2 linked regions of the Diceros bicornis minor genome follow. The protein of the gene in region 1 purifies or fractionates together with the protein of each later gene. This does not show direct contact. Links are inferred from orthologs where the notes say so. Each region holds a gene or a part of one and is shown in the gene's direction. Other genes may lie near its edges.

What was found. The genes of interacting proteins can lie anywhere in the genome.
Region 2: the proteins of NEURL4 (region 1) and CCP110 purify together in Homo sapiens (affinity purification with western blotting; 4 studies listed by BioGRID and IntAct, with this or other methods). This does not show direct contact. The link is inferred for Diceros bicornis minor from reciprocal best matches to the Homo sapiens genes NEURL4 and CCP110.

Annotation. Positions count from the first base shown.
Region 1 is NC_080757.1:10,960,939-10,970,220, forward strand, and holds the start of NEURL4 (neuralized-like protein 4), read left to right. Parts: upstream 1-5,446; 5' UTR 5,447-6,482; coding exon 6,483-6,764; intron 6,765-7,672; coding exon 7,673-8,117; intron 8,118-8,334; coding exon 8,335-8,400; intron 8,401-8,545; coding exon 8,546-8,844; intron 8,845-9,011; coding exon 9,012-9,123; intron 9,124-9,214; coding exon 9,215-9,282. Other genes in the region: ACAP1 (arf-GAP with coiled-coil, ANK repeat and PH domain-containing protein 1), read right to left, coding at 658-715, 1,255-1,307; uncharacterized protein LOC131416984, read right to left, coding at 2,405-2,472, 2,727-2,864, 3,854-3,942, 4,160-4,231, 4,362-4,469, 4,820-5,313. UniProt on the Homo sapiens protein: Promotes CCP110 ubiquitination and proteasome-dependent degradation. By counteracting accumulation of CP110, maintains normal centriolar homeostasis and preventing formation of ectopic microtubular organizing centers.
Region 2 is NC_080765.1:32,859,939-32,869,762, reverse strand, and holds the start of CCP110 (centriolar coiled-coil protein of 110 kDa), read left to right. Parts: upstream 1-5,381; 5' UTR 5,382-5,563; intron 5,564-6,460; 5' UTR 6,461-6,491; intron 6,492-7,145; 5' UTR 7,146-7,300; intron 7,301-7,310; exon of another isoform or gene 7,311-7,458; intron 7,459-8,496; 5' UTR 8,497-8,717; coding exon 8,718-8,786; intron 8,787-9,293; coding exon 9,294-9,449; intron 9,450-9,824. Other genes in the region: GDE1 (glycerophosphodiester phosphodiesterase 1), read right to left, coding at 3,465-3,725.

The DNA of each region.
Region 1 (9,282 bases):
AATCACAAGAGCTTGGAAGAAAACTCTGAGCCTCAGAGGAGCCTGCAGCCTGTGAGACCCTGAGCAGAGGACCAGCTAAGCTGTGGGTGGTTTCTGACCTACAGAAACTATGATAACAAATGTGTATTGTTTTTAGTCACTAAATTTGCAACTTGATACACAGCAATAGAAAACTAATGCAGCAAATAAATATATAACATGTCAGATTGAGGTAAAAGCTATAGAGAAAAATAAAGCTGAGTAAGGGAAATGGGAGTGTGTGTGTGCATGTGTGTGTGTGCACGTGCATGCATGTTTTATAGAGAGGCCAGGGAAGGCCTTATTGTCTTGTGTTTAAGTGTTTCACAGTTGGTCCTCCACAGGCCGTCTGCGGGCTCTCTGGAGGTAGAAATAGTCTTGCTCTTCCCAAACACCCAGGGCCCAGCATAATGCAGGGCTCAAGAGTAGTCCACCAATGAGTCTGGTTTTTCAAGATCCCAAGCTCCTTAACAGCACAGAACCACCTTTCTCTTTCTCTATACCCCCCCAAATATTTACCCTGGAACATGGCTAGCATTCAATAATCCCTGGAACTCATTCTTGGTCTCCAACTTTCTCCCTGGCCCCGCCCCTCTCATCTTAATTGGCTCCTGGGTCACCTCTCCATGTCAGGATCACCTTTTCCAGCCGGGTCTCCAATTCTGACACTTCGGCTTCCACCAACTCGATAGAGGCTCTGGGAAAGGAGGGGTGGGGTCACAGGAACAGAGCTTGGGTCCATCTGGTCTGTCAGCCTCAGCAAGGTCAGGGATTGGGGTTAGGGAGTGGAGGTACAGACAGAAAAAGTGGAGGGGTTAAGAAGAGCCACCCACCCACCCTCTTTTGCTCAGCTCACTGCGCAGTGTAGGAGCTGCTGGCCCAGGCCAGAGCAGGAAGGGTAGGAGGGAGGGTGGATGTGGCGAGGGCAGGAAGTTGCTAACCGCCCAGAGCAGGTGCTGGGGGAGGGGCAGGGGTCTGGGTGAGGAGGAGGAGGGAATGCCAGCTCTGGGGGTGCGAGAGGCTGGAGCAGCCCCCTCCACATGCAAGGAGTGGAGAACATCAGAGCACCCGGTTTGATAGCAGAGGTCCTACTCTGGCCCCAAGCTCCATCTTGTCCCTTTGAGACTTACTCCCTGGAAGGACGTCTGGCCTGGGGAAGGTTGTGTGTGAGTGCGTGTGCATGTTGGGGGTTGTCGGACTACTCCCTCCCTGCCCTCCAGACCTGCTCGCACTTACCGGAAGCGAGGTGAGTCCTTAAGACACTCTTCGAAATCCAGCTTGACCGTCATCTCAGCTTGACTGCTCGGAGGCCAGTGGGCCCTGGGGCCCAGCAGGTGGGGATGCAGGTAGAGGCACTGCCTGCCCCAGAAGGGGCGTTGATGAGGAAGGAGAAGGTCCTCTCCTGGGTAGAGCCTGGGGGGGCGCAGATTTTTCCCCAAGGGGAATGGGTGTCCTAGGAGGAGCTCTCACCCCACACTTCCAGGCAGTGCTGGGAGGGGCAGAGGCGGGGCCTGGGCAGAGGAGAGGGGCCTGAGATCAGAGAAGCCACAGCCACGCCCTCAGGGACTATCTGCTGTCACCTTCCTACTGGGGGCCCTGGTCTTTCTTTGCTTCTTTCTCCTTTAGTGGTTGAATTTGAGAGGCCTGGCAGATATAGTTTCAAATCCTGATTCTGTCACTTAAAGGTTGTGTGACCTTGGGCAAGCTCTCTGATTCCTCAGTTTTCTCATCTGGAAGATGGGGATGATAACCCCTACCTCCAGGGTTGTTGTAAGAAGTAAAGATGATACCGTAAATTTATGGTTGACTGAATCACACCAATCACTGTCATCCTGCTACAGTTGGGCCTTCTCAGACTCCTAGGTTCTTGTTGAGCCCAGTTCCCCAGACTACTCCAAGCTTTCTTCTCTGCTCAGCCTGCCCTTGGTTTCCTGTGTGTGAATTTCCCTCCCTCCTCCCCTCTCCTCAAGGACGGAGCAGGCCCAGCCTGGGTCCCCAATTCACAGCACCCAGAGGCCTGCTCTTCTTCTCTTTATTGTCCACTCCTAGGGTGGTGAGGGCAGGGGAAGGTTGGTCCCCACCCCCTTCCCAGCTGGCTACATTTTCCATTGTCTGGCTTCCTCCTCCTGAGTCCATCGAAGCTGCACAGTTGTATCTGGAGAGAAAAGGGGTTGGGTTAGTAGCTTTTGTGCAGCAGGCATGAGATCTGGCCCACGAGACCCACCAGATTCCCTAGAACCTACCCACTCAGCTCCTCTCCCTCCCTGGGCAGTGCAGGCAGCCCTTTGCCCCCACCAGGGCTCAGGCTCATGTCTGTGCTGGTTCAGTTTTGGGGAGTTTGGGTTGCTTCCAGGTACCCTCTTTGAGCTTTCTGGGCTTCGCCAGTTCAGCCCTTTGGACACCAGCCACTGACACCCGCTTGGGACCTACTGTCTTTGGAAGACAGGGCAGTACCTGGAGTAGGGTGGGTGGCAGAGAGGAGTCAGGGAGGAGGCATGGGGTCAGCAGGTGATGCCAAGCTGGAGAGGATCCCAACCCTTCTGAGCCTCCCTGGTTCCTCTCCGTACAACAAGGGCCTTGCACACTAGGATGTTTATGGTCTCTCTTAGCACCTGTTGCTGGTCTACTGGCCTGAAAGGGGTGGGGGTTGGGGGCATGGGAGCTTGCCAAGAGCCAGGCCCAGTGAGATGGTGGCCTGGTGTTCTCACCAGGCAGCAATGGTGTCACTGTCACCGTCAGGGAGTTCTCAGTAGCCTTGGGATCCTGAAAGTGGTTTCCTGTGTGGTCCAGCAGACGGACCTCAGTGCTTATGGGATTCTCCATCATCCAGTTCAAGCTTGTGGAGCCTGGAAGCATCATGGGGTCAGGGTTGCGGCATCCATCAATCTGTTAGTTCTCAGCCCTCCTGCCCCCAGGCTGACCCGGCCCAGCTCTCACTGTCCTGCTGCTCATCTTCTGTGTCCTCCTCAAGCTCTGGGTGGGGAGAGCGCCTCAGGTATCTTCCCTTGCTATAATACTCCTTGCGTTGCAGATCAATCTCCTGCTCTAACACGATGGTGGCTGGAGCTGGGGACTGATTTCTGGAGGTAGGGAAATCTGAGGAGTCACCCAAATCAATCTGAGTCTCATACCTAGCGTATCCAGGCCCCTCAGGTGTCCATTGTGGCCCCCACCACAGGAGAGAAGCTCAAGCCCCAGGTTCTCATCTCACTTCTATCACCTCCTCCCATTTTAGAAAACCTCAGTGACCTCCCCATCCCCCTGGTTCTCTTGGGCATTCTGTTCCTCCTCACCAGCCAGCCTCCCCTAAGACTACCTTGATAGGGACCCAACCCCAGCTGCCCTCTGTCTTCCCTGGGTCACCTCCCAGCATTACCTCCCTCTTAGGCAGGGCCCTGGGCCAATGCCCACTGAGGAAGACAGGCTATGGTGGAGAAGGCTCTGGACTACAATTCCTTTGAGTCCCTGGGGCCCCGCCATAGCTAACCCTTGGCTTCTAGGATGTAGTTCTTGGTCATCAAGTCAGTCTCAACTTTGACTCCTCTGGCCAGTCCTCCTGCCCAGCTTCTCTCCATAGGTCTGGGCTCTGGGCTCAGCATCACACCTCGACTGCCACCTCCCATACTGACAATACTCCCATTGCTGTTCTTGTTATTATCCAATGGCAGGTTTTTCTGAGCCCTAAGGAACTTTCCTTCATCGTAGTGTGCCTTGCGGCGCTTCTCAAAAGCACTGGAGTCTGTGGGCCAGTGTAAGAGCTTGGCTTTCCCTCCAGGCTCTCGTTGAAGGTTCACTCCGCCTCCCCTTTTCATTCAATCCCCGACCCTCATCTCACGTGTCTTGGAAAAGTTGTCTGAAGACCCTGAGCTTCTGTTATCACTGTACTGGAGGACCTTGGGGCAGAAATTGTCCATTGTTGCAAACCTGAAGGGAGGGAGACTAGTTGGGGGCACCAAAGGAAGAGAACAACAATGGTGGCAGGTGATAGATAGGGCCAAGCTGGCTGACTCCCCCACCTTGGCCTTGGTCAGTTCTGACGGGAATTGTAGTCAAAAAAGCAGAGCTGGCTCAGACCCCAGAGTTCAGGAGTGGAAGGAGGAAGAGGTCCCACAACCCTGCTGAGCTCTGGCAGGACTCTCACCTCTCCGCCAGCTCTTCGGGAGTCATTGTGCGGGAGGAAACCTCAAGTAGGTCCTCATTGCTGTCCTGCAGCCTGCAAAGGAAGGAGCAAGCAGTGCTGGGAGGGAGGCAGCAGGCAATATCCAGTCCCTGCAGCCTCTCAGCCTCCTCCCCGTAACCCGCCTTTGAACAGGGAAGAGAGTCTGGGTTGACGGGCTCAGCACCTGTGGTAGGGAGTGCTGGGCTCATCCACCTTCATAAATCCGTAGTCCTTGTCAGCAGGGTGGTAGGTGGCCGGGATATTCATTTCATCCCAGCGCTGAGACTTTTTCCTGGGGTGGGGGAAGGACACAAAAAACGAGGAGGAAGCCTAGTGACCTCTTCTCACAGCCCTCCCTCATTCTTTCAGTCATTCAAAACCTTTTTCTTGCACCCTCTTTGTACTTCCAGAGGCGTAGGAGGCCTAATGATAATCACTTACAATGTAGCCAGGGTTGGTCCGGTACCTACCGCTCTCCCGCAAAGGCCTGGAAACTCAAATTTCCCACCCAATCGCCCTCACTTACTCTCACTTATAGTTCTCAGGACTCCGCCCCTTCCCTCCTGGCTCCACCCCCTCAAAGTGTCCGGAACCCCACCCTCCCGGCTCCGAGCGGCGTGCCCACTGAGCTGGGCTCCTTACTTCTCCACACTGGGGGATTTCTGCATCGAGATGGAACTGCTGTTTTTGAGGATGCCCCGGGGCCGGTCCTCACAAGGTTTGTGGGGGTGCAAGAAAGTTGACCCAGGGCGCGAACTGCTTCCCGAGTTGTACACCCCAGACCCCCTGGACCCAAGGCTGGACGTCCCGGATGCACGGGTTCCAAGGAAGGGGGGATTAAATCCGCCAGGGTATGTGCCGGGCCCATGGCTGTGGCCCGCAACCTCCCCAGGGTGCTGGTTGGGCCCGGAACCAAGGACCGCTACCCCCTCGGAGGGCCGGCTGGAACGAGGACTGCGAATTACGACTCCCCCGGAGTGCAGGGGGGGGCCAGAAACGTGACACAAGACTACTTCGGAGGGCGGCCTGGCGCCTGCCTCGACTCCTCCAATGCCTCCTGGCACTCCCCTGGTTGCCCCTCCAGGGGATTCCCCGTTGAGGCAGCCGGCAGCCCCCAGAGAGTCCTGCTTCTCCATGGCCCCGCCAGGGGGCCACCCTCAGCTCCCCCGCCCCGCCACCCTACTCCACATAGCCCCGCCCCTTGAGGCCCCGCCCCCACCGCGGAGGGCGGGGGACGCTCGGGCTGAGGGCCGCGTCCCCTCCCCTTCGGCTCCCTGGAGCCGCGGTGGGCGGGATCAAGAATCTATCTATATAGGGACCTCAGGCTGGGAGCCCCTCCCTCTCTGTCCACCCAAAGACCTTCTTTCTTTGTCTGTAGGATTTGTTCCCGCCCTTCTCCCTCATCCCCGCCCTCATCCGAATTGTCCAATCATAGTCAGAGGTCCTGATGCGGGAGCGAGACGACTTAATTGTGACGTCACAATCCTCCAACCGTAGCGCGAGCATCGGGGAGTTGGGCTGGGGCCTTACTAATAGCTCTGGGGGATCTTTTGGGAACGTCAGCATCGTTGCTTGAAACTGCCTTCCAGGGTTTCTTTGGATTTTTTATTCGCGGCTTTAAAATCTAAGAGTTTGGTTGGATTGCAGTTCAAGGTGGGCTTGACTAGAAACAGCGCCAACCTTTTCTCCACCAAAAGTCGGCCCGCTTTGCCTCTCACGAGAGGTGATGCAAAGTGGAGGGATTGCGATACTGCTGTAAGATATATCCGCTCTCGGCGGTGTGGAGGGCAGAGATTTTCATTTATAAAGCTACCAGTTCCCTTCCTTGGGTCTTCCAAACCCCGCTCACACCGCTTTCAAGCGCATAGCGGGAAGGGAAGACGACTCCTCCTCTTGCCGTAAAGCGAACATGTCTAGGTGTTGCCTGGCTTGACGAGGGCGGGGTCGTCGGTGCCGCTGTCGCAAAGCCGAAAGTGTTTGGACGCCAGCACCTCTCCGTCGTAAAGATGCCTGCGGCAGTTGTTTCTCCCACTGTCGCAAAAGCTCCCTGCTCAAGTCTTCACCCTTCTCGGAGCCACTCCGTCACCTCTCCGTGCCGTAAAGCAAACCTGTCGACCCCGTCGTCCTTCTGTTCCCACCGTGGTAGTCTTAGTTCCCTAGCTGCCTAGGGATGCTTCATTGCCCAGCGGTGCCGTAAAGCATATCTGGCCCTAGCCCCTGGTCCTATTCCCTCAGGGAGTCTGTGCACCGCGGTTGCCACGGTGCCGCCAAGCGCGGCTGTCGCGCGGCCCCGGTGTCAGCGGCGATGGCGGCGGGGTCGGGTGGGAGTGGGGGCTCTGGGGGAGGCCCCGGACCGGGACCAGGCGGGGGTGGGGGCCCCGGCGGGAGTGGCCCAGGGCCGGGGTCCGGCGGGGTTCTGGGCAGCGGCGGGGAGCTGCACCCGCGCACTGGGCGCTTGGTGAGCTTGTCGGCCTGTGGGCGTATAGCGCGGCGACAGCAGCCGGGCCAGGAGTTTAACCACGGGCTGGTGTTGAGCCGGGAACCCTTGCGCGATGGACGCGTCTTCACCGTCCGCATCGACCGCAAGGTGCGGAGCTGGGGCCGCGGAACCGAGATGTGGAGGGTGGTGGGAAGGGACCAGAGGGAGACGGAGTAGGACAGCCAGGGTAGCCCACAACACCGGGTATCGAGAGGAAACCGACAGACCTTAGGTCACCAAGTGACAGGCAGAAAGGGAGTCTGAAATAGAAACATTCAGTCTGAAGGAGAAGGAAACAAGGAGAGCTTGAATTTGTTCAAGACCTAGGAGCAGGGAAGGGACAGGGGGCCTCACCCACTGGAATGACTAGGGAACAGACCTCCTGGAACAATTTCTGGGAGATGGAGATTGGTGAGATGTTGGAGATGTGATGGGAGAAGAGAGATAACCAAAGAAAGAACAAACCATGGAAGGACAAACTCACCGGTTGGACTGGAAAGATGCGTGAGAAGACAGAGGGAGGTGTGTGTACTCGTGTGTGATTTAGTGAAGAGGCCTGGCGCACAGAGGTGGAATTTGGGAACATAGTGAATCTGAGTGGAGCCAGAGCCTAGAAGAGAATGATATACAAGAGCAAGGAATAAATATGGGCATGGAGAGCTGTGAATTTGGGTGGTTGAGGAGCCCCAGAGACCAGGGAAGTTAGGGCAGGGGACTGGAGCCAGGGAATTTAGCCGGCATGGTGCGGAAAGGAGTGGTGTCGTAGACACTGAGCACCTAGAGTACCAAGCAGAGTTGCTAAGGGAAACTGGACCCAACAATCCCTGAGACAGAGTCGAGAAAATTACTTATGGGACCGCATCTCTGGATTAGTGTCTCACATCTCAAGAGAGAAAACCCATTTAGCTGTCTGAGAGATGGGAACAGGGGGATGCAGTGGCCTGTGAAATGTTTCCTAATGGTGGGAGACCCATTCATGACCCATCCTGAGTTTCTGTTCACCACCCGTATCATAGGTCAACTCCTGGAGTGGCTCCATTGAGATTGGGGTGACGGCACTGGACCCCAGTGTGCTGGACTTCCCAAGCAGCGCCACGGGGCTAAAAGGGGGCTCGTGGGTAGTGTCGGGCTGTTCGGTGCTGAAGGATGGACGTTCTGTGCTGGAGGAGTATGGTCAGGACCTGGACCAGCTTGGCGAAGGAGACCGTGTGGGCGTGGAGCGCACGGTTGCTGGGGAGCTTCGGCTCTGGGTGAATGGGCGGGATTGCGGTGTGGCTGCCACGGGCCTGCCCACTCGTGTCTGGGCCGTTGTGGACCTTTATGGCAAGTGCACCCAGATCACCGTGCTGCCCCCTGAGCCAGGCTTCAGCCCCCCTTCTCCCATCCCCACACTCCCCCTCGAGCCCTCTGCCCCCCCTGAAGATTCTGCTTTGGCTGAACAGGGGACCTCTGGAGATGAAGGTGAGAACACAGGGCAGTAGTGGAGGAGTGGGGTGGAGGGAATGGCTGAAGGAATGGGGGAAATGTAGTGACAAGTGAGGCTGGGTGTGGGCAGGGACACTCAGACCCCAGAGTCTGTTGAAGGGGAGAGCAGGGGCTAGAGGAGGGGGTCTCCTGGCTGTGGGCCCTACAGCAGGGGCTGAACCCTTATTCCCCTCCCATCCCACCTGGTCCCCAGCCTTCATGGTGTCCCCAGCGCAGGCCCGGCCAGAGACGTTTCCTAACAGCCTTGAGTCGCATAATGGTGAGGGCTACGGGGAGGCCCTGGGAATGGGAGTGGGAAGTGAGGTGGACAAGGGAGGGATCTCAGGAGAGGGGTAGGGAGAGAGGGGCAAGCCTGAGGATGTAGAGCCTTATTTCAGCTTCTTTCCTCTGTCCTACTGCTGCAGACTTTGCCAGCATGGAGCTCTCTGAGGTGGTGAGCAACGCCATCCTGTCTGCCTACAATGGGGGGCTTCTAAATGTGAACCTAAGCTCCCCATCAGCAGGGGAAGGGCTGGGGTCGAGCGGTGCTACCACCTCACCCATCCTCACTTCCAACGACGCCCTGCTCTTTCATGAGAAGTGTGGAACCCTCATCAAACTCAGCAACAATAATAAGACAGCTGAGCGCCGCCGGCCTCTAGATGAATTCAACAATGGGGTTGTCATGACCAACCGCCCGCTCCGGGACAATGAGATGTTTGAGGTGTGCAAGATCCTGGGATCTGGCTAGCACCTCGCCCTCTGGGAGCTAAAGATGGGGCTTGATCCTTGACGCTGGAAGGGTAGGGCCTGGGGAAGAGCCAATGGCTAAGGGTCCTTTCTCTGCATTTACATTCTCTGCCTCTCCCTTCTGCTGTCACTCTACCCAAGATCCGCATCGACAAGCTCGTAGATAAGTGGTCGGGCTCCATTGAGATTGGTGTCACTACCCACAACCCCAACAATTTGGACTACCCAGCCACCATGACCAACTTGCAGTCAGGTACCAGCCCCTGGCAGGGTGGGGGTATGGGCCTGGGGTCGGTGAGGTGAAGGAAGCCCAAACTGTAACCAGGGTGTCGGCTTTCCCCCAGGCACCATCATGATGAGCGGCTGTGGGATCCTGACCAACGGCAAGGGCACCCGCCGAGAGTACTGTGAA
Region 2 (9,824 bases), on another chromosome or scaffold:
CTCTTAACCACTCCGACTTTACTGTCGACACTACAGACACAGCTAAAATCCTCCCCCCTTCCTCTCCAGAGGTAATTGCCCACTTAAAGCTGATGTGCATCATTCCCATATCATTCCATTATAGGTCTTTATATATTTACTACACACTTAAGCACCCACAAACAACATACAGCACGGTCCTAGTGCATAGGAAGCATTCAATAAATGTTAGCCATTGTTAGTTACTGTGTGTTCTTTTTAACACATTTTTAATCGTAATATAGTCAAATCTATCACTCGTCCTTTACGGGTGGAGATTTTTCTATCTTATTTAAATTCTTTCCTACTCCCATTTATAAAGATATACAACTATATTTTCTTCTAGGCTTCAAAGTTTGATTTTCACACACGTGACCAAGATTTCCCCCCCTAAAAATCCCAATTCTATCACTCACTGTGTTGTCTAGTTACTTATAGTCTTCTAGTCTCAGTTTCATCATTTTTAAGATGATACTCTAACGATCCTAAGAGTTGCTGTGAGGATTTGGAAATAATGCCTGTAAATTACCAAGCTTGGTGCCGGGCTCAGAGTTGGCACTCAAAATAAGCTATTAAGGATTAGAAGAACACTTATGCCTCAGGGAAAAAGTCATTACAATAATGCTTACATCTGTACTGGTTAAAAGGTATACCTTTCCATAAGATTAAAAAGTATATCTTTCCTAAGTTAAAGACAGAATTAATGCCCTGGTAAAACAACATGGGTTCCATATTTTACCACATAAAACTAGATCACATTTTCAGTATTCATAGTGCATGCTTCTCTCATTATAACACAAATGTTATCCTTATTCCTTGATGGGGCACTATAATTAGGTTCAATTATACTTTTATTCATTAGGGCCATCCTTATTTGGCTACAACACAAAAAGTAACAATGGTGAGACTATTTTAGCAAGTGAACTAGAACTAATGAGTTCATTTATTTGTCTTTTCTGTGTAGTTTATTAAGGCCCCAAACAAAAGCTCTATAAAACAACCACCATATTAATTTCTTAGACCAGATCTTCTATGACTGCATTCAACTTTCTTTACCAGTTATAGAGGCAAAAAGATGAACCTGATTCTAATTCACATGTTAGTATACACTTCATACTCATCTTTTTATTTATTTAGAGAAATGTCTTACAATAGTATTTTTGGGGGGAACACACCTTACCTCTTTCAAGTGTTTCCTTATATATCTATTTTATAATCTATCAGAAATTCTACCACTGTCAGAACGTCTTCCCTGAGTTTTCACGGAGTAAAACTTTTTTTTTTTTTCAAATGTTTAAGGATATAAATTATGAGCTGTAAACATGTAAAGGGAGGAAGAATAGGACAAAAAACAAACTTTGATGGAAATAAACTACAAATTTGAAGTCAAGCGGGAGGATGCGACCTTGTCTTCTGCAGTCTGTATTCAGAATCTAAATTCTATTACAGCTAAAAAGTTCACTGATAATGACCCGATATTCGAACAAGGTGAATTACCACATCTCATTTCCTCTTAAGACCAGTAATCAACTTGGCACGATGTTTATTTATGATTATTACACACATTAAAGACATGCTCAACCTAAGCATACAAGGCATGAATGGAATTTAGCTATAATTCTCTTGCAACACGAGGGGATATGAAACACTCTATGTGTATGTGTATTTCACATACATACTTCCTCGTTTAACATGACTTATATTCACTCAAACATATTCCTAGCCAAACTACCATACCCATCGGTAAATACTTATGAATACCTTCTGTGCTCAATTAACAATGAGTTATACTTTAAGGCAATTTACACAAGGTAAGTAGAAATGGAAGCCAACGACAATTATGTGCTTTTTTTCCTATGGTAATTATCATCTTTCTTTGCATGACAGTTCTATCTCCTGTGTAGCTAGCTGTGTTACTTCATGCAACCTCTCTGGGTTTAGGTTTAGAAGGTAAAATACACTCTTCAATATCTTTAGATTTATTTTTAAACAGAAGGCTAGAAGAGCTGCTCTGTCTCCCTTCCATCACAAAGAACCAAAGGGAAAAAGCATAAGAGAAGTTTAACTGGGTTTATAAACGGTCAGGTGCCCTCTGCTCAATTAAAGCTGCCTTCCTGACTCCCTTCTTTCTTCAGACTTAAATTTTTCCCTTAACACTTAAATTTTACCTAAACGATTTTAAACAATCAAGCCATCTTTAGATTCTTGGCCTAAAGAGCTTACATTTGTGGAGGTCTTATCATGGGCCACACACTTTATGTGGACTACCTCATTGAATCACAACCTATTAGGCGGATATCAATATTATTCCCATTTTACGGATGGGGAAACTGAGGTCACGGCTGGGACTAGAGTGAGAAGTGCCCTAGGGTGCCGCGCTTCCCACACCCTAGTCATGACTCTTGACTGGGACACTGACAGCTTAAGTAACTTGCTCATTACACAACACTGTCTGTCCCTAGCAGGACACATGACAGTCAGTCCAAGTTTTTACATCCCAGGACATATTCTAATCTATGACAAAGAGCATTGAGGCTTGGAATCAGAAGGTTGAATTCTAGAAAGAGCTGTGGTTTGAGCAGCTTTCCTACTCATTCAATGTTAAAATGTCTCAAAGAAATGAGAGGATCAGATATATTTCTACAGATGCAAAAGTGGCTAGGCAACTGAAAAGCTCTCTTACTATGCGAACGGTCATTTTCATGTCAGGAGACTGCCAGGAGAGCCTTGTGACAAGGGGAGGCAGAAACTGATTAGAGTCCCAATGCCAGGATTGTCTGAGGATGAATGTGTGTGTCTGGGGGGAAGGTGATAAGGAGATGACCTGGCTAGTTTGGAGGACAAGCAAAGACAGCTCTTGTGAATGTGATCCACTTAGAATAAACTCAACCACTGACCAAGACTCTACTTAACCTGGCCACATTTCCTACCTCATTCACTAGCCTTTGCTCTGTTCCTTGAAGTCAAGCCACATATGCTTATTCTGTTATCTGAACATTCCAACATCATTCCCACCTCAGGACCTTTGCACTTGCTGCTCCCTTTTTCTGGAACACTTTTCCCCCAGATCCACAGCCGGCTCCTTCTCGCAATCTTGGTTTCAGTTCAAAAGTCACTTCTTCTGAGGATTTCGCTGACTATCTGGAAATAGCATTAACTGCTTTCCCCAGTCATCCCTCATTCCATTACTCTATTTCTTCATTGCACTTTCGCTTGCGCAGTGCTTGGCACATAGCAAATATGTAAGTATGTGAGTATTTGCTATGTTCTATAAATACTCGAAGTCGGGAGATTTTCCAGACTTCAGAGGGATCGAGAGCCACAGGAACGTATTTCTTGAGGACGAATGGGGAACCGGGAAGGCTATCACGCGAAGCCTGGGGAATCTGCGGAAGGACAAGCAGAAGTCCAGCTCCCCGGAGGGGCGCGAGGCGTGGGGGGCTCACCTGCCGAATGGCCGCCAGCGTGTTCTCGGGGGCGTCGTGGCCGCCGCCGCGGTGGGCGATGGCGGAGACGCGGTTCCGCGGCTTGAGCACCTGCAGGGCCCTGCGGGAGGGCACCGGGTCGAAGCTGAAGAGGCGCAGCAGGAGGTAGAGGCTGCCGGTCAGGAGGCAGGCATTGAAGGGGCTGCGCGTCACCAGCAGCAGCAGCAGCAGCAGGAAGGAGAAGGGGCCCAGGAGGCCCCCCTGCTCCTCCCACAGCCACATGCCGGCGCCCGCACCGGCACGGACGGGAGTCCCGGGCCCGCCGGGCTCCCCGGACAGGAGAACCAGAAGCGGGAGCGAGAGCTCAAGGCACCGGCCGCAGCTGACACCCTCCGAGGGGCCGAGCGCCGCACAATGGCGGCGGCGGCCGCAGCGGGAGAAGGAGCCGGCCGTCCAGCCAATCAGGGCCGGGGAGCGCCAGCTCTCGGGGGCGGAGCCGCTGCCATGGCAACGCAGGCGGGCCCCGGCCCCAGGCTCGCGTTCCAAAGTGGTTTTGGATTATTCCGGGGTGGGGCCTTCAACCAGGGCTTTCAGACTCGAGAAGGGGAGGGATGCAAGACCCATTGTACGGTTGCAGGACTTGGAGGGACCTTAGTGACCCCTTCATTCCGCCTTCGAGGAAACTGCCCGGGGAGCCTTGAAGGAGCACAACGCTCAGACTATTTATGTATTCAATTCAAGATGTGCCAAACACCAGTCCAGGTGCTTGGACACGGCAGTGAACAGGACCTGCACGGTCCCTGCTCTCGTGGGGGAAAATAATAGTGTTAGGGAGCACGCCAACATTTATAGAGCACTTACCGTATTCCAGGTTCTGTGCTAGCGAATATTTTATGCGTTATCTCGTTTATTCTCACAACAGCCTCAGTGGGTAGGTCTTATCTCAGGAGTGAATGAATTCAGTCGACTTTAGAAGGATTTTTCAGATTCTGAGGGAACGAAAGAGCATAGCAAAGCAGGTACAATCGGATTATAAAGCTGGAAGGGATTTTAATGATTCCCTCGTTTTATAGATGAGGAAACTGAGGCCAGGAGAGGTGAAGAGAGTTGAGCAGTTAATGGCAGCGTCAGGACTGACTCAAGCCACTCCAGTTTTAGGCCAGGTGACTTTTTTTTGCACTGCTACTCATCCTCGTAACCTTACTTGTCCTTCTACTATGGGCTAATAGTAGGGCTTATGCACCAGGCACTGTGCAAGAATATCTCAGTTGTTCCTCACAGCCACCCTTGTGATAGGCACTTTTAAAACTTTCATTTTATATATGCAAGTATAGGCACGGGAAGCAGGGTCAGTAAAAGAGGCAAACGGTAAAGCCGAGTTAGCAAATGAAAGCGGCTGCTGCATTGTATTTTGGAAAGCTGGTAACATGTTGTTTAGATAGAGAACTCTGGTAAAACATTCGGGGCTTTTTGGGCCATCTTGAATCTGTTACCTTTCTTGGACGTTTTTCCCACTGATTTGCGAAAGGGTCAGGGATGTCTTAAGGCTTTGAGTTGGCATTCTAGGATTCAGCAATATTTTATTTACAGAGAAAAAATTTCGGTGAATGTTGTATCTTTTCCAACGACCACACAGAATGAGGTTATATCTGTACGGATAAGTGAAAAATAGCAACTTCAAGGAACATTTCAGGCGGCTTCAGACCTGGGGCGTTCCCATATAATAAATTTTACCTGCAGAGGCCTCAGCTCGTAGTGAAGACTACGTTTCCCAGCGTGCACCGCGCTGCCCGTAAGTACTACTCCCTTCATCACTGGGCCAGGGCGCGTACCCAGGCGCGCAATGCACCTCGGGGATTGTAGTTTTCTGGAGGCCCAACGGTTCCAACAGCCCGGGAAGCAACCGCCGGAAGTGGCGGTGGGGAGAGGTGGAGTCCGAGCAGCGGCGGCGGCGGTTGCCAGGAGCCCGCGTTGCCGCCTGAGACCCGTAATATGGCGGGGAGGAGGAGGAGAAGGCGGCGGCGGACCGAGCTGCTCTCTGTCTGTACCGATTGAGCCGTTGGCTTCCTCACAAGGCCCGGGGCGAGGGGAGAAAACCTGCCCGGGCCGTGGGAGATCAGGTGTGTGCGTGAGGAGCGGGCTCGATCCTCAGCCGGTCCCGGCTCCGAGGCCACGGGCAAGGCGGCATTGGCGCCCTGAGAGCTGAGGGCGGGCTCTGGACAGCCCGAGCGCGGGTGCTGGGCCCCCGGGCTTCGAGACCCTGGAAGGGCGCCGGGTGTCGAAAGGTGGGTGCCCGGGCGCGGAGGTGATGCTCGGATGCTGACACCGCCTGGTGGGCCCTCGGGATGGAGCCTTCCAGAGGAGCTGGGGGAGGTGGGCGTGGGGCGCTGGGGCAGAGGATCCCCTGTAAATAAACTCGGGCCAGAGCCGGGGACCACCTCCTGTTGCTCAAACAGTGTGGGGCGTTTTTCTTCTACGATGCTGGCGAGGGAGGCGTCCCCGGGGTGAGCACTGGACATTTCTGAAGGCCGGTGACCACAACCAGAGGCCCCAGGAGCGCTGTTTACTCTGCCTCTGCGCCTCTCTGGGGCATAAACATGAGGATAATAAAGCAAGTTCTCTTGATTGCCCCTGATGCTGCTAGGTGGTTCCCACCCTTTGCTTCTGTCTGGTTGTCATTCCAGTTCCCTATCCCCAGTTTAGGCAAATGGCAGGCGCCTAGAGATTGATTTAATGGGGAGCGGTCTGGAAACAGCGAAGGGAGGAAGCCGTTGACCCCCTTTCCGTGTTTTTAAGTTATATTTGAATTTTGCCAGGAACCAAGCACTGTCGCTGCCCTCCAGGAGTTCATAATCTAGTGATAAAAATCCTCCTCCTCCTCTTCATAACCAAAGCGGCCCCATTTATTGATGCTCTCTGCATGTCCTGCAATATAGTAATTGCCACGCGTGTATTAATTCATCGAATCCTCATAGAATCTCTTTGAGACAGATACTCAGATTATTCCTATTTTACAGATAAGGAGACCGTATAGACTGCATAGAGATGGTAAGTGAATTGCCAAGAACATACAGCTAGTGTGGGCCTGAATAAGAAACTTTCCCCTTTATTACCTCTATAAGACGTTTATGTCTTTGGGAAGACTGATGGGTAAACAACCAGCTAGGATCTGAAAACAAGGCCAGATCTGTTCTGTGCTACTTTTACCATTCCCTTCAGTGACATCTCTGGGAGAGCACTGCTGAGGAGCAGGTAGCAGGACCATGAGTTTGCGGGGTTTGCAAAGAGGCTCATTTGGAGAAGTCATGGTATAAATGGAGAAATGAGACATGTCTGAACTTGATGCAGCTGACAAATTATTAATTCAAGTGGACCAGTAATGCCTGGTGGTAAAGTATGGGGCAGTAGATTTGTGCTTGGCGTGGCCTTGTAGTCGGGGCTCCCTTAAAATAAAACCCTGCTGACAGAGGTAATTGTGGTGTGAGAGACGAAGTGCCTTAATATAGGATACGGACGCTCACTTTTTAAACGGTTGCCTTTGCAGTTTAGAGGTACCGGCTTCTCTGAGAATAGGGTCATCCATGAAACTCCATTCTCTCAATTCCCTTCTTCCTTGCTAGCTTCTTTGCTATGTAGTCCACTCTCTTTTTTCTCCCGGTTTTCGTTATTGTTTGAGCTAATTACCCTAATTCATTTATTCAGCGCTTTTATCAAATGCCGACTGTGTGCTGACAGTGTTCTGTGTGATGGGGCTTCAGTGGTGAGCAAGACTGAGAAAGTACCTGTGCTTATGGAGCTTACGTTTTGGTGGAGGAAGACAGGCGAAAACCAAGGAAATAAGATAATTTCAGATAGTGGTAAGTGCTATGAAAATTGGAAAACAGCAGGGCAATGTGATAGTGACTGTCACAGGGTTAATTTAGATGGGCTCGTCGGCGACACCCTCTCCGAGGAGGCGACATCCAAGCTGAGACTGAAATATAAGAAGGATCCAGTCACGCTCTGGGATCATTTGGTAATTTCCGTAATCACCTTATTGGCGCTTGTATTTGGGTGGTGAATGCATTATCATATGCTATAAATTATGCTGTAATAATAATCTCTTACTGTGGATCTGCAATACGTCTGACATACATGTACTGTTAAAGGGATATGAATTTAACTTTCTAAAGCATGAGGCATATATCTTCATGATGTTGCTGAAAGAAAAATAGAACTATTGCCATAAAGATATTTTATTTCCTTAAATTTCTCAGACCTTTAAAATAGAATTTCATGTTTGCTTGTGTATCCATACGAAGAATATTACATTAATTGTATGAGTCAGCTATTTATGTTCTCTGTAATGCTGGATGCATGGGCTGTGGTAAAAAATATTTTGAAGTATTTTAGCAGAAATGGGGTCATTTGAATTTCTCTTACATCTTAGCTTCTGCGTATTTTGGTTGTTAAGATATAATGTGGGTTGAAATCCAGACTGACAAATGGGGCCTTGCTATGGTTATCGTGCAGTAAGGTGTTATGTTTGTTTTTTACTTTTGTTTGTTTTATCAATATTGGTTTGCAGAATAATCTCATACTCTAGAGAACCATTTCTTTGAAATTAAACTCTCACTTGGAGTAAATTTAATATAGAAATAATTAGAATGGATGAGATGGTAGGAAGAAGTTTTGTTATTAATAAAACTAGCTGTTGGTCAAAATTAGCAATACATCTTATTTTTTCATAATCTAATCATAATTTTGAAAATGCTTTTTCTTCATTTCTAATTGCACTATAATTTGTCCCTGACACCTTAGTGTACTGAATTTGTAAGTACTTTGAGGTTTAGGACAGTATCATATTGTATCTTCATCTTTGCATATTTCACATCATGAATTGAATTTCTCTACCCTTTCTTTTTTTTGTTAATTAGTTAATTGTTTTAAGATGAACACTATTTATGGTATCTTAAAGGAACATTATTGTATTAGGTTTTCTGTTTTTACAGTTTGTACCCTTGGTGGTTATGATTTTGATGATGTCTCTTTATTTTCCCTTGCTTATTTAAAGGAAACAATGCCAGACATAATGCTATGGAAACAAGCAATCAAATATTTCATGCTTCCTAGACGAATGAATATGCTGCCTAATCCTTCCTGGTTACCTTGTATTTTCATAGCCACCCTCACAATTTTTCAGAAATTGTGCAATTCCTGGGCTGATTGTTTTAAGTAGTTTCGTGATAGTTCCAATTTTCAACAATAAAATGGAATTAATACCAGAGCCAATAGATGTTCTATTTTCTACCCCTGACTGATTTGGCTAGTGACCATGGAGTAGAAAAGAAATTCTTAAGATATGTAAGTATAACGGACTTTGAACTCCATGATAGAAAAAGAAGTTTTGAAAGTAAATAGCCTCTTTTATTTAAATAGCCCTTATTTCTTTTTTTTGGCTACAAAAGCATTTTTGCCTTTTATTTTTTACTTTTTCTTGTGCTGTGTAGATAAGTCCTGCTAAAGAAAATATCTATTTTATAATCTGAAGTTAGTAAACTGGTACAGAACTTTGTTTCCTTTAAAAAGGAAACTTCACTGGTGAGTTCTTAGTACTTTTCTAAACTAATCACATTTAAATATTGATTTACATACAAATGTTCAGAAATATATAATATATGAACCAAGGCTTCACTGGGTAGTATCGTGAGGTGCTTACTTATAACCAGGAATTAGCTTCTGATCAGTGAAACCATTTTGGGAAGCCCAGTTTTAGGAATTGTGAATTCTAGGAATATTTCAGTGCTCTACAAAATTGGCCCAATAATTAAGATCTATTTTTCTCATTTTTGACATTTTTTTCTTTTGTAGTGTGATTGTGGGAAGATGGAGGAGTATGAGAAGTTCTGTGAGAAAAGTCTTGCCAGAATCCAAGAAGCATCACTGTCCACAGAGAGTTTTCTACCTGTCCAGTCTGAAAGCATCTCGCTTATTCGCTTCCATGGAGTGGCTGTGCTTTCTCCACTGGTAAACTTTCTTTTACTTTAAACAATCTTTTTTTCTGTAGTGAACCACTAAGGTAGTTCACAGAAAAACAAAAGAAAGGCTTATAAACATTGAAAAGATGCTTAACCCTTATTCATAATTAAAGAAATACAAATGAGTTAGCATTCTTTACCTACTAGATTGGCAAAGATGTGATAGGACCTAGTGCGTCTTAGTTTGTAGGGAAAAGGCACTTACAAGGGACTTTTGCTGAGATTTTATTTTTTGGTGAGCAATTTGGTAATGTTTATCAGAATTTAGAAGTGTACAAAACCTTTGCCTCAGCAATTCCATTTTTGGGAATATCTTACAATTATGCTCGTCTGTATTCTTGAAGAAATATGTACAAGGTTACAG